3 linked regions of the Caenorhabditis elegans genome follow. The protein of the gene in region 3 purifies or fractionates together with the protein of the main gene of each other region. This does not show direct contact. Each region holds a gene or a part of one and is shown on either strand. Other genes may lie near its edges.

Region 1 (3,774 bases), on a different chromosome or scaffold from region 3:
CCGAGAAAACAGAAACTTGAAGAAGATTCGTGTTCATCTTCAATTCTTCGAATTATCAAGAAAACCACACCCAGTCTTCCAAATAGATCATATACAATGATTAACCAAAACATGGAACATCCACTACAATGCTGCTACTGCTTGGAAGTGTACGAAAAGCGATACATGACGCAAGTTCCAAAAACCGAGCAACGAATTGCCAGATGGGTGGCAATATTAGGAGAACAATTCCGTATACGTCTTCGAATGAAACCTGCAAATTACATGTGTCGAAAACATTTCCCGCAAGCGGATTTCAGTTCTCGTGGACGACTTCTTAAAACAGCTGTTCCAAATGTTGTTTCCCAGGAGAAAGTACTGGCATTCAAGCTTGAAGGAAACACGTTCGTTGAAGTCAAAGAAGACAATACGAATATCAAAATGGAAAAGGGAACGGACTCGGAAATAGATATAGAAAATTAGAGCCAAGCTCGCATTGTTTTGTTGTTATTTGTTTTTAGATTCTCGTGTTTTGTTTTTTTGTAATAAACTTTATTTTCAGATTTTCATAACATATTGGGGGTACAGTTAGATACAAAATATAAGTAGTCAAATTCCACTTATTTTCGGAACTGATAAAATCTATTGACTTCCTTGAATGAATCCTCCAGCGTAGATCTTTCCATCCTCTTCAACAGCGTCAGCGGCCTTGAGCATAGTTCCAGCAGCATAAACATCTCTGTTGACAGTGAACTGGCAAACTTGCTCAACTTGAGCGAATTGTTTGACAGATGGAGTAGTCCAGCATCCGAACGCGCGGAAATCAGCAAAACTGGCCGGGGTCTCTCCATTGACACCACCTCCAAGGACATTCCAGTACCAGAGGAGAACATCATTTCCAATGCTGCTCCATCCGTTGGTGATCTGGTTCCAGTCGTAGTAGGAAGTGTAGATTCCGACAGTCATTCCATATTGCTGTAAATTATATGAATTTTGATATGAAATTTGTTGCAGAAGTATGAACTAATCGGTTCAGTTTAAAAACGTCTTAACCCAAAGGTCTTATCAGATTAATCAATGTTTTAGACTATAATACGAATCATTCGAGTTTTCGTATTTGAATGTATTTCAATTCCTTGAGCAAAAAATCAAGCTTCTACAGGAAACTTACTCTAGCTCTTGACACAATACTGTTGATAAAGTTGACATTGTTATTAGCATTGCTTGGCCAGTTGGTTGGAGAAGTGACCTGGATCCATACAGATCTGATTGTTATTCCTCTTGCAGTCAATCCTTGGTAGATCTCATCCAATTGTTGGTATCCTTGCTTGCTTGAAGCCGGCTGTGGAGTCATGTAGATCTCTGTTCCGAGTCCAGCGTTATACGCATTCTGAATAGTATTGCAGGAGTTGGTGTCGAAGGATCCTTGTCCAGCTGGGTTGTATGCACTGGAAATTCGATTTAATTGTTATGGAGTTTTAGAAAATGTTCATCAAATTATGAACGTTTGGAATCGAAAAATGAATTAATCAGAAACGAAAGCAGGCAAATGTTTGCCCAAGTTTGGCCAAAAATATTAAAAAGGTTCTGAAGTGACAATACATGACCAGAACTTGTTCTGGTTTAGCTCAAGTTTAATTCAACTGTTGACAATATCTTTACACTTGGGCCAACCTTGGGCAAAAAAAGATTCAACTTTTTTTTATAAATAACAATTTATAGATAGGTAAATCATAAAATCTTTTTCAATTCTTACCGGACAAAGACTGCCGAATAACCAGCTTGTTTGAGGCACTGAAGCTGGCTCAATGAAACTGGAACAGACAAATCAACAGCGAAAGCATATGAAGCCAAATTTGGTGGAACTCGTGGAGCAGCCTCAGCAATGACTTCTCTGAATTTGACTGGAAGAGATGAGTCAACGAATGGAAGGACCTTGACGGAGACTGAAGCCGAATGGCAAAGTACTGCCAGTACTGACAAAAGAGCCACTGATTTGAGAAGCATTCTAGAAAATGTTCAACTTGAATGAGTTAAGAGAAAATTATTAACAAAAAGAACAAAGAATAAGAAACCAAATTTTATAAAAATCAAATACTAAACCGAAATGTTGAAGAAACTGGAGTGGTTATCATGATTTATAGTCTTTATCAAAGAGCTGGCAAGTACCGCTTGTCCATCTGAATTTATAATTTCGGAAAACATTATCATGATATCACACTCTGTTATCAGTAACTGTGTACACACTTTTATGTCATTAATGTCGATGAAAAGAACATCACAAATTATGTGGAATACCGGTAATTGAGCGTGGGCGTTTTGATGATTTTTTCTAGGTTCAAATTCTCGTAAATGACAATTTGTTGTCTTTTATTAAATTGATAGTTCATAAGTGAACACAATTTTTTTCTGACTAACAGATAGTGGTAAGATTTTCAAAGCGATTATGCATATGTTTTACGTTCAACTTTGACCATAACAGCGAAGAAAATTGAAAGTTCTTGAAAACTAGAACTGTAAAATGTATGATATTCTCCTTCAGCACTATACCAATTCTTTTATACAAAAATCCCATTTGCAGCTGAATAAACATTCTCCTTCTTGTTCCATAATTTTTCCCATTTCACTATATTTTTACCGTTTAACATGTCTGTTTAAACTGTACTAACATCCAACGATAGCCCCTGTGAGCAATCCAATTGTTTAAAAATCATTAATCTATTTTTAATGTGAATTCAATTAGTCGAGATTTGTCTTTGGATGGAATAAAAACGAAGATGACGAGTTTAAGAAGTGATGTCATTTCCAGAGGAACAGAGAGTAAAGAATTCGAATTGTTGAAACAGCTGAAATTGTAGATCCATTTCGAGATCAATTTAGTATTTGATAATGAAAAGTGACGTGTCTGTCTATTCATTGAACAAATAACAAAAACGATAAATTTTAGTCCTGAAGCCAATTATTGGTATTTTCTAAAAACTTTGAAGATTTTTGATCCATTATTAATTTCAACTAATTCTTGGCCAAATTGTTGAATTCTTCAGTTAACGTATATTTACTTAACTTTAAAGTGGCTTCAATTATATCCAGGGACCTCTTTAGGCTCTCCTACCTACATTGGGTTTTCAGTATTTTAGTTTCCATCCGTACTTGCCTGCCACATGTCTACCTTCATGCCTGTCGTCGATGTTCTGTATTTCTTTCGTGATCCTACTGCCCGCCTGCCTGTCTATGTGCCTACCGCCTATTTCATTACTTTTAATATTATGCCACATTTTGATGTTCCAGATATCATATAGCTTGTTCTATATCCAATGTTCCTTTGAAAATTGAAAAATCAGAAATTCAATGATATCGTAAAAAAACGAATATATATTCTTTTTTAGCTTCTTCCTGTATTTACTTATGTTTTTTCCTTCTGAATACACACACATTTCTCTCTCACTTTATTATCATAAATCATCATAAAAAAATCATTGGTGACGTCAAAGTTTACATTTTTGGAGGTGCTGTGAAGAATTGTTGAAAGTCGAAGTTCTCGGTGTGATATGAAGACTTTGGAGGTTGTCGTTCAGCGATTTGATGCCAAGTGAAAGCGGATGTACGATGGAAAAACTGAAATGATAATTTGTGTAAATAAATAATATATTCAAAAAAAACTAACGCTCAACTCGACGAAAGCACTTTGAATTTCTCCGAGATGCAATATTTTGGCATTCACATACTTTTCCTTGATGAACTTCGAAATCGCTTGAGCACTTTCATCGCGAACACTTTGGGTTTCCGGCTTCTGTT
Region 2 (3,839 bases), on a different chromosome or scaffold from region 3:
GATTCCACTTCTTTCTCCACTAGCTTCTTTTATTTTTGTTACTCCGTACCGGCGATTTATCATGCACTACTTTTTCAAAACGACTCGTGTTGAACCTGGAGAATCATCTTTAACACGTAATATCTATACTAGCAATGCTTATACTGGGTAAAATTCATTTAAAAAGGTTTTTGTAAATTGTATAAATAGCTTAAAAATTTGTTTACAACAATATGCCAGTTATGAGACAAAAATCGGAATAAATTAATTAAAATTCAAATATATCTCGAAACAAGTTCAAGAAAAATTTAGCCTTTCCAACATAATCAAATATTTTATGATGAAAATCATGGGAAGTAGACGCTGGGAACCTGGAGCCTTGTCTCCTCAAGCAGGCCTTCTCGTTTTGATGCATACATATAGGTAGACCTTATGGGCTCAGCAGGACACTATTCAGAAGGCGCAGGTGAGGCAGGCGGGTGAGGGCCTGCATAGAAGCTCTAGTTTAGCAAGATGAAGTATCTGGTACGGTAGCTAAAAACTTTTGATTGTGCCAGGACCCTATCATAATTTCTATCATTTGTGTTACATAACAAAACAGAAAACTTTTCATCATAATCATTTTTATTTCAATACAAAAAAGGAGTAGTCGATATCAAGTCTATGTTCTAGTGGAGCAAGTAAGCAGCTGGTCCTCCATTTTCCCAATCGTACGGAGCATTCTCGTTGGATCCGCAAGCACCATAAGCTTGACGCATCATTCCGTATATTGCTTGATAGTTGGGTGCATCATAGTATTTCATTGCATCAACCATACGCATAATATCCTGGAATTGTTGTGGGCATGGCGGTGGGAACAGGGTCCCAAGGTTGTTACGGATCGCTTGTTTGGCCTGACCAACTTGGTTCATGTCAGAGATATGTTGCCATGGAATTGTTCCGTGCGACAGTTCAACCTGCATGTACATCCAGGTCTCCAAGTCGTCCTTGCTGAAATTAGAGTCAATTAGATTTGGGATTGGGCTTGAGCACATACCGGCAAAGTTCTCTCTGAAGATGGCAACTGATTGGAGCGTACTTGACAGTTCCACGAAAACCAGCAGCTTGGCGTGGCTTTCTAATGGTTCCATCATTCCCAGTAAACTTTCTGCACATTCCAAAATCCAAAATGTAGACCTTGCGAATCTCGTTCAACTCGGGACGTCCAATCGTGTAATTTCCGGGTTTGACGTCACGATGAAGGTATCCAATGTTATGAAGATCCTCGAGTGCCTCCAACGATTGAATGCCGATTCCAATCGAGCAACCCATCGACATGTGCCCACCGACCCCAGCTTTATTCAAATCTTGAAGCGATTTTCCGACAAGTGTCATTACGACGTAGTTGAAGTTTCCAAAGCGTCCCTTGTCCTCGATCTTACAGAAATGACGATTTCCACGCTTTGAGAGCTCGTTGAGCACAGAAACTTCCAGTTTCAACACCTGAAATTATTCTTAAAGTCTCAGGTGAGAAATTGCGCTCCTACAGGCTTAAATGTAGAAATTGCGCTCCTACAGGCTTAAATGTGGCTTAGGCTTAGGATGGGACATAGGTCTACACGAAACACACATCATATGCGCTCTGTCGAACTCACAATTATTCGAGCGTTGGTTCATTTGCGCTCTAGTGTAAGAGTGAAACTTGAAACCGAACAATTCTAAGATTCTAAGAAGAATGACCGAAAGATTCCGAAAGATAGAAACAAAAACTGTTGCTCAAAAATGCAGAAAAAATTCAAATGAACAATTGTGCTGTGATGTACCTGGATCTGCTCATTGGCTCCTTCCACTTTCATCGCGTATTTGCCGGTTGCGTCGAATACACGGTACACCGCACCGAATCCTCCTTCTCCCAACTTCTTCTCGATGCTCCATCTCTCGACCTGAAAGCTTTGAAATTCGCGGGTCTCGCAGCGAACTCTCTCACTCACCTGTTGTCCGGGATTAAGCTGAATGAGCTCTTGGGCCATCTTGAATGTTCGTCTGACAAGCCGTTTGGTTTTTCAATGAAACTCCAAAATTGTAAGGATTGAATTGTTGGTTTTGAATTTCTGATTTTACCCTGGGGTGATGTTTGGGCGGAGCTTAGATGTGGAGCAAAGATAATGACACGGAGGTGGCCACGTTTTAAACTTTTTTGAAAAAATTATCTTCAATAAAGTTGCAATTAAAGAGATAATTTTTTAATCAATTAAAAAAAAACGTGACATTAAAAATTGAAAAAAAAAATGTTAAAGATGAAAATCATAAAACTGATTTGTTTCTTTTTCTACGCTTACAAAGGCCAAGGAGAGCATATGATACTTATTATTATAGAACGGAGTATAAGCTTATGCGCCTATTTGTTTTCAATTTTTTTATTTTTATTTTAAACCGGAAAAGGCAAAAGAAAAAATGCAAACATTTGATATGCAAAACTTTTAGGTTCAGATATAACAAACCAAAGCTCTTCTTACAGTAATTTTTGAACCCTTTTTGGATAACTTTTATTTATTTTTATAATGCTTTCAGTCTCCAATTTATTGAAATATAATTTTAGCAGAAGTGACTCAGAATTGAAGTTTAAGCACCTTATTTGAAAGTGCTTTATGAATCATTTTCAAAGAAATTCTTTTTAAGAGGTCAAAAATCAGACAATGGTCTGACTAAAGCTATTAAGCACAATGCTTATGCGCTCACTAATGACAGATTACCTAAAGAATGACAGATTACCTAAAATGAGAAATATATAGATAAACGATCATTTTATTGAGAAGGCGTGGAACCGAATGGAGAACAATCGAGAATAAAAACAATAGAGGATGGGATTAGAAAAGCAATATATAATGATTATACTTACCTATAATTTTTAGAAGCTTTTTTATTTCATGCTTTAAAAAATTTGGTTAAAAAATTTTTATTTTTTATTTTTTACAGTTTCAAGAGTTCACTTTATACGGTTTAGTAACCAGAATTTTCGTTCTTCTTTATTCGGTATGCGTTGTTTTTCAAAGGCGAAAAACTAAAGTTTACAATATATTTTTTGCTGTTTTTTTATTGAAAAAGCTAGGAAAACCTAGCCCGCTCAGATAATTATTTTGCGAAAATCTACAGAAATGACTAAAAGTAGCTGAAATTCAAATTCCGTGAATTTTCTAGTTTCATGCTCCGGCAACTATTTAAATGCGTACTAATTTTTGTTCATACTTATCCCCCAATGACGATTTCGCTTTTTTAAAATCCGTTAATTGATGCTCTAGTATATTCGAAAACTAGAATAAATTCAATAGTTTTGATCTCCATTTTCTTGTTTTTTATTTAAAAACTCACGTATTTCGAATAAATAGAGTAATAATCGTATTGTTCTATACAATTCTTCCATAAAATCAAAACACGATTTTTGATTTCGGAACTCTATTATTTACTTGGTTGACAAAATAACCAGGAAAGGAGGTGTTCTAGTTAGTATATTCAGAAGTTTTGAACTTTTATCACACAAATGAGACTTCCTTATTTTAAAATTGTATCCATTATGTAGTACGTTCCAATTAATCATTTTAAATGCATACCCAGACAGGGTACAAAACTTTATAGTTAAATATTTTTTTTTCTTTGAATAAGAAATGTATTTGTATCTCAATATAAAAAAGATTCTTAAATTGTCAACCACATTAGCTCGAACCATTACATAAATACCCTGAAACCGTTTTTTCTTTTTCAGAAATCAAAGTCATGTTTGATTTTGCTGTTCTCTTCTCATGTGCTCATGCCATAATTTCCGTGCTTGGAATGTGTTTCAATGCCTTGTTAGCCTACTTGGCACTGTTCCAAACTCCACGTGT
Region 3 (4,742 bases):
GATACATTTTATAAAATCTTCTCCAAAATTTTCTGTATTTTAAAAAAACAAACACCACTTTTTTCGATGCACCATGTTTCAACCGATCCAATATACCATATTAAAAAAAAATGTTTGGCTTTTAAGCATTAAATCACCTGACTATAGATGCCTGCCTACAGATGCCTACCAACATTAAAGATTACCTAAGCCTATTCGGAGATAGGCGGTAGGCAGGTACGTAGGCATAAAGCCTGGCTGCCTACTTACTCATATGAATATATATAATTTGCAAAAAGACTTTCGTTCTCTAAATCTCGCCTCTTCAAAAACAGGAATCCGTGGACACGGATGACTACACATATATCTAAATAGTAACTTTTTGAGTGAAAAGATCTTTCAATTTCATCTTAATTTCTCCCTCACCCACCCTACCGCCTTCCCAAATGTTCCAATTTTCCCTCCCCCACACACTCACTGACCGGAATACTTTTCCCGAAGAAGATGGAAGGATTTGATAATTAGACACGCGCGCGTACAGGCAAAAGATGACACCTATTATCCACTTTTTATTCTATTCTTTCCGGATGTCATGGATCTCTTTTTGAAACAATTCACTTTTTGGAATTTTCATTGGACAAATTTTGAATTTTTTTTCTAATAGATTTTGTAATCTCGTAAAAGTCTTTCAAAAAGATTTGTTTTTTTTTAATTTTTTAAAAAAATATTTTTTCAGTTTTTATGTAGTTTTTCTTACAATTTCCAATTTTTCAAGATTTTTAAAAGAAAAATATTAATTTTTTATTTAAAAAAAATGTTTAATTTAAATTTAAACTTTTTAGACCCGATTTCATTTTTAATTTGAAAAATATTTATTTCCTCCAAAAACCAAAAAACTAGAAACTTTACAGGAATTTCTAGGAAAAAAATCATTATTCTGAAAAATTGTAAATTAAAAAGTATTTAGGATAACTCCAAAACCTGATCTTTTGAGTAGTATTTTCAAAATTTATGTGTAAAATTGATTTTTTTCCATCTTATTTTTTAATATTCTAATTTTTGGGTTTTATGTGGTTTTTTTTCAATGAAATATTAAATTTAAAATTTAATTTTTTCAATAAAATTGTTCAATTACAGAAATATTTGTTACTTATTGTGTTGCGTATGATGAAAATTCTACAAAAGTTTGGAAAATATCTGAACATATAAAAAAAGCTTTAAAAAAACCAAAAGAAAAATCTGGAAGAAAAATGATTTTTCTGAAAAAAAATTAGTTTAAAAATATTAAAAAGTGCTCAAAAACATATTAAGAAACAAATATTTTCTAATAAAATTTTAAATTTTAAAACAATTTTTTATATTTTAAGTCAAAGATGGTATAGTGTTCAATAATTCAAGATAACTTAGACTTTCATTCAAATTTCCCTCCTTCAGAATCCATTAAATTCCTTCGTCTCCTGTTTGCCTTTACATAAATTTCCATTACGTTTTCTTCTTCTTCCGTTAACATTTACCACCATTCCTTAACTGGAACCGGTTTCATTTCCTTTTTTATTCCCCCCCTGTTCCTGTTCCATTCAGAATATTTGTCGTGATTTTTGTCTTAAAATTTAGAAAATTGGAAATTAATTTGCCCATCAAACATGGTGCATTTAGTTGTGGACTCAATGCATTATATTTTATGAGAAAATGTGATAGTGTTAAGAACCTCCCCCCCCCCAAATTTTTTTAAATTTTCCTCTTTATGTTAAAATTATTCTAATTTTTCTATTTAAAACTTTTTTCTCTGGCTTCTTTCTGCTCTACAAACTCCAAGTAAAATATGGTGCATTGAGTTGCGGACCCGATGCACCATATCTTACGCGCAAATTTTAATTTTTTTTCCAACCTTTTTTCAATTTTTTCAGCAAAAATGGGCGCAAAAACCGAATTCCGATCATCCGAACCAATCACCGACTCGGAGCGTTCTCAAATCAATTCAGTGAGAGCAATGCTTCAGGAAAAGCTTCCAGATGGAATTCCAGATGATGTAAATACTGACCTAAACCTATGTCGTTGGATACGTGGATATCATGGGGATACAGAGAAGCTTGTCAAGAACTTTGCCACGTACTTGGCGTCCAGGAAGGCCGCCGGTTTCGTTGGCAATGATTTTGCGGAAAAGTTTTTCGAGCTACCAAGTATTGCTCCATTTCTACAATTTATTGCGTCATCAAGGCTTCAGGATAGACAATGGTCTGATGAGCATAATGCATTCTTGTTTGTGGAAAGAGCATGGTCACAGCCTAAGGAGGTAGGCGTGCCTGCTTTGTACCTACTGCCTAACGCCCGCGAACGCCTCTAAAAATTGACATATTGATTTTTCAGTTCATAAAAACGTTCAAAACAAGTGATTACCTACTTCATTGCTTCGGATACTCTGAAATGCTCCAGCAGCTCATTTTAAGACGGGAAAAGAAGCAGTCAGCTGATAAGGGACCCGTTCAATTTATTGTTATTTTCGATCTCAACACTGTTAATATTACGGATTATGTGGGTTTTTTGTTCTAAAAAATTCACAAAATATCAGTTATGGCCTCCAAAAATCGAGGAAAATTTAATTTTGAGTTTTGTGACGTCACACTTATTTTTATTGAAAATTTTTTAGATTCTAGAGTTGTCTGAAACGTGTTGGAAACTTCTGAAAGCTCGTTAAAATGTTAGAAAATTCTAAAACCTAAAATCTCCTGGAAACCTTTCTTTTGAAGATTTCAAAAACTGCTTGAGTTTTTTGGAAACTTCTGGAAACTTGGAAAAAATGAAATTTAATCTAGAAACTTTCAGGTGAACCCAATGTCGGGCTACATGAAGCTCTGGCAAATTCGAAGCGAGCTTTGGCAAGATTGGTTAGTTAACATTATGAACGGGCTAAAAATATAAAAAATACCAGTTCAGGTTCCCAGAAATGGTCCAACGAATCTATTTGACCAATCCACCACGGTTACTCGGGCTTCTGTGGAAAGTTGCTCGGGTTTTCTTGTCGGAGGAAAATTTGAAGAGGATTGAGATTATTTCCGATAAATCCGACTTGGCGGGGAAGTTCTTGCCGCCCTGGTTGGTGCCAAAGGAATATGGAGGTAGGCCAAAATAAGCCTGAGCCTAAGCCTACACCCGTTTTCCAGGCGAATTCGTGAATACAGTACCCCCAGGCGACGAGACGGGGGTCTCGGTCCGTCGAAAAATTACGTCTGCCGACTATTACAAGCCATATCAACACTACAAAGAGCACGGAATCGATCGTCCAAAGTCGAGTCACAAGGATGTTTCTCCGGCCGAAAAGTTCGTGTTCAAGATTCAAGTGCCAAACGGAAAGAAGCTTCTGTGGGACTTCACGGCTAGTGGAGAACTTCAATTTGCTATTTTTAGAGGCAATGTAAGTTTTTATATAGAACTATTGCTTTACAGTAACCATACAGTTCCCCTACAGTACTCCTACAGTGAATCTACAGGAAACTTACCGTAATCCTTGAGTAGCCTCACAGTATCTCTACGGTAGCTCTACAGTAAATATTTTGTAACCAGACTTTAACCCTGCAGTTTACAGTACCCCTACAGTACTCCTACAGTACCCTATCGTACTCCTACAGCACCCTACCATGATACTTACAGTAGTTCTACAGTAACCCTGTTGTAATTCGATTGTAGCCCTGCAGCAACCACGCAGTGCTCCTGCAGTAACCCTGCAGAAACACTACAGTACCCCAGCAGCTACGGTTAAAACAACACACACAACAGTAAGCCTACCGTAATTCTACAGTAACCTTATAGTGTTCTTACAGTAATCCCACATTAGCCCTACAGTAAACTACTGTACCCCACCGTACCCCAACAGCTACCCAACAGTAACATTTTTCCCATTTTTAGAACCGCAACGATCTCGTCTTCCCAAGTCTCCATCTCATCACCAACAAACTCAACGAAGAAGGAAGCCTGGACAATGTCTCGGATTCAGAAATTTCCTTCGAATTCCAGAACCTATCCGGATACTTCACGTTGAAGCTGGAGTACACTGTAGCTATTATTTGAAATTTTTTTTCGCCGACTCTGTGATAATATTGACTCCCCGTAATTTATTAATCTATGTATACATACTTTTAATAATTTTTTTAATACATACATTTATATATCTACAAGCTGGTTACAGAAAAAGAAAGACGACGAGAATGATGAGAAGACCCGTTGTGAATTTAAGCCCTGTTGAGGATGAAGTTCGTGTTGTTGATGAGTTTGAAGAAGCAGTTGCAAGACGAATTGACCCGCAATCCACTATTGTTTGAGTTGACTTTTCAACGACGACTATTGTCTAAAATTTTAAATTTTAGTTACCGGAGCCTGCCTGCCTACGTGCCTACTAGATAGGCAAACACCAAAATACCTACCTTGCTAATCACATTCTCTTCAAACCCATCGAAATCAATAACCTTCCATGGTTCAACTGCCATACCAGTATGATCTGTTTCTACGATCATCAGAGTCTTTCCCTCACCATTTACCCGCGATTTCCGGTGGCACTGACCACCTTTCTCTTTCGTGTCAGGCAGGAAATTGATCTCGTAGAGCTGAAAATTTATTTGATTTGCAAGAAACCCTACAGTACCCCCGTGATATCTACAGTAATCCTAATGTATTCTCACAGTGACCCTACAATAGCCCTATAGTAACTATGCAGCCCCTACAGTTTTCCAACAGTATCCCCCCAGTACTGCTACAATAGTCCCCCAACA

The links.
Region 1: the proteins of C34C12.6 (region 3) and lys-8 fractionate together in Caenorhabditis elegans (co-fractionation; one large-scale study listed by BioGRID). This does not show direct contact.
Region 2: the proteins of C34C12.6 (region 3) and ttbk-8.2 fractionate together in Caenorhabditis elegans (co-fractionation; one large-scale study listed by BioGRID). This does not show direct contact.

The regions. Positions count from the first base shown.
Region 1 is NC_003280.10:5,584,391-5,588,164, reverse strand, and holds lys-8 (LYSozyme), read right to left. Parts: upstream 1,988-3,774; 5' UTR 1,987-1,987; coding exon 1,736-1,986; intron 1,428-1,735; coding exon 1,151-1,427; intron 955-1,150; coding exon 622-954; 3' UTR 514-621; downstream 1-513. Other genes in the region: C17G10.13 (THAP-type domain-containing protein), read left to right, coding at 1-462.
Region 2 is NC_003282.8:5,630,130-5,633,968, reverse strand, and holds ttbk-8.2 (non-specific serine/threonine protein kinase), read right to left. Parts: upstream 2,042-3,839; 5' UTR 1,989-2,041; coding exon 1,950-1,988; intron 1,902-1,949; coding exon 1,782-1,901; intron 1,624-1,781; exon of another isoform or gene 1,603-1,623; intron 1,462-1,602; coding exon 1,016-1,461; intron 970-1,015; coding exon 648-969; 3' UTR 590-647; downstream 1-589. Other genes in the region: srd-13 (G_PROTEIN_RECEP_F1_2 domain-containing protein), read left to right, coding at 1-151; srd-12 (G_PROTEIN_RECEP_F1_2 domain-containing protein), read left to right, coding at 3,730-3,839.
Region 3 is NC_003281.10:3,480,705-3,485,446, forward strand, and holds C34C12.6 (CRAL-TRIO domain-containing protein C34C12.6), read left to right. Parts: upstream 1-1,886; 5' UTR 1,887-1,891; coding exon 1,892-2,272; intron 2,273-2,346; coding exon 2,347-2,511; intron 2,512-2,802; coding exon 2,803-2,864; intron 2,865-2,913; coding exon 2,914-3,095; intron 3,096-3,140; coding exon 3,141-3,391; intron 3,392-3,882; coding exon 3,883-4,044; 3' UTR 4,045-4,139; downstream 4,140-4,742. Other genes in the region: C34C12.7 (PAN/Apple domain-containing protein), read right to left, coding at 4,157-4,321, 4,398-4,577.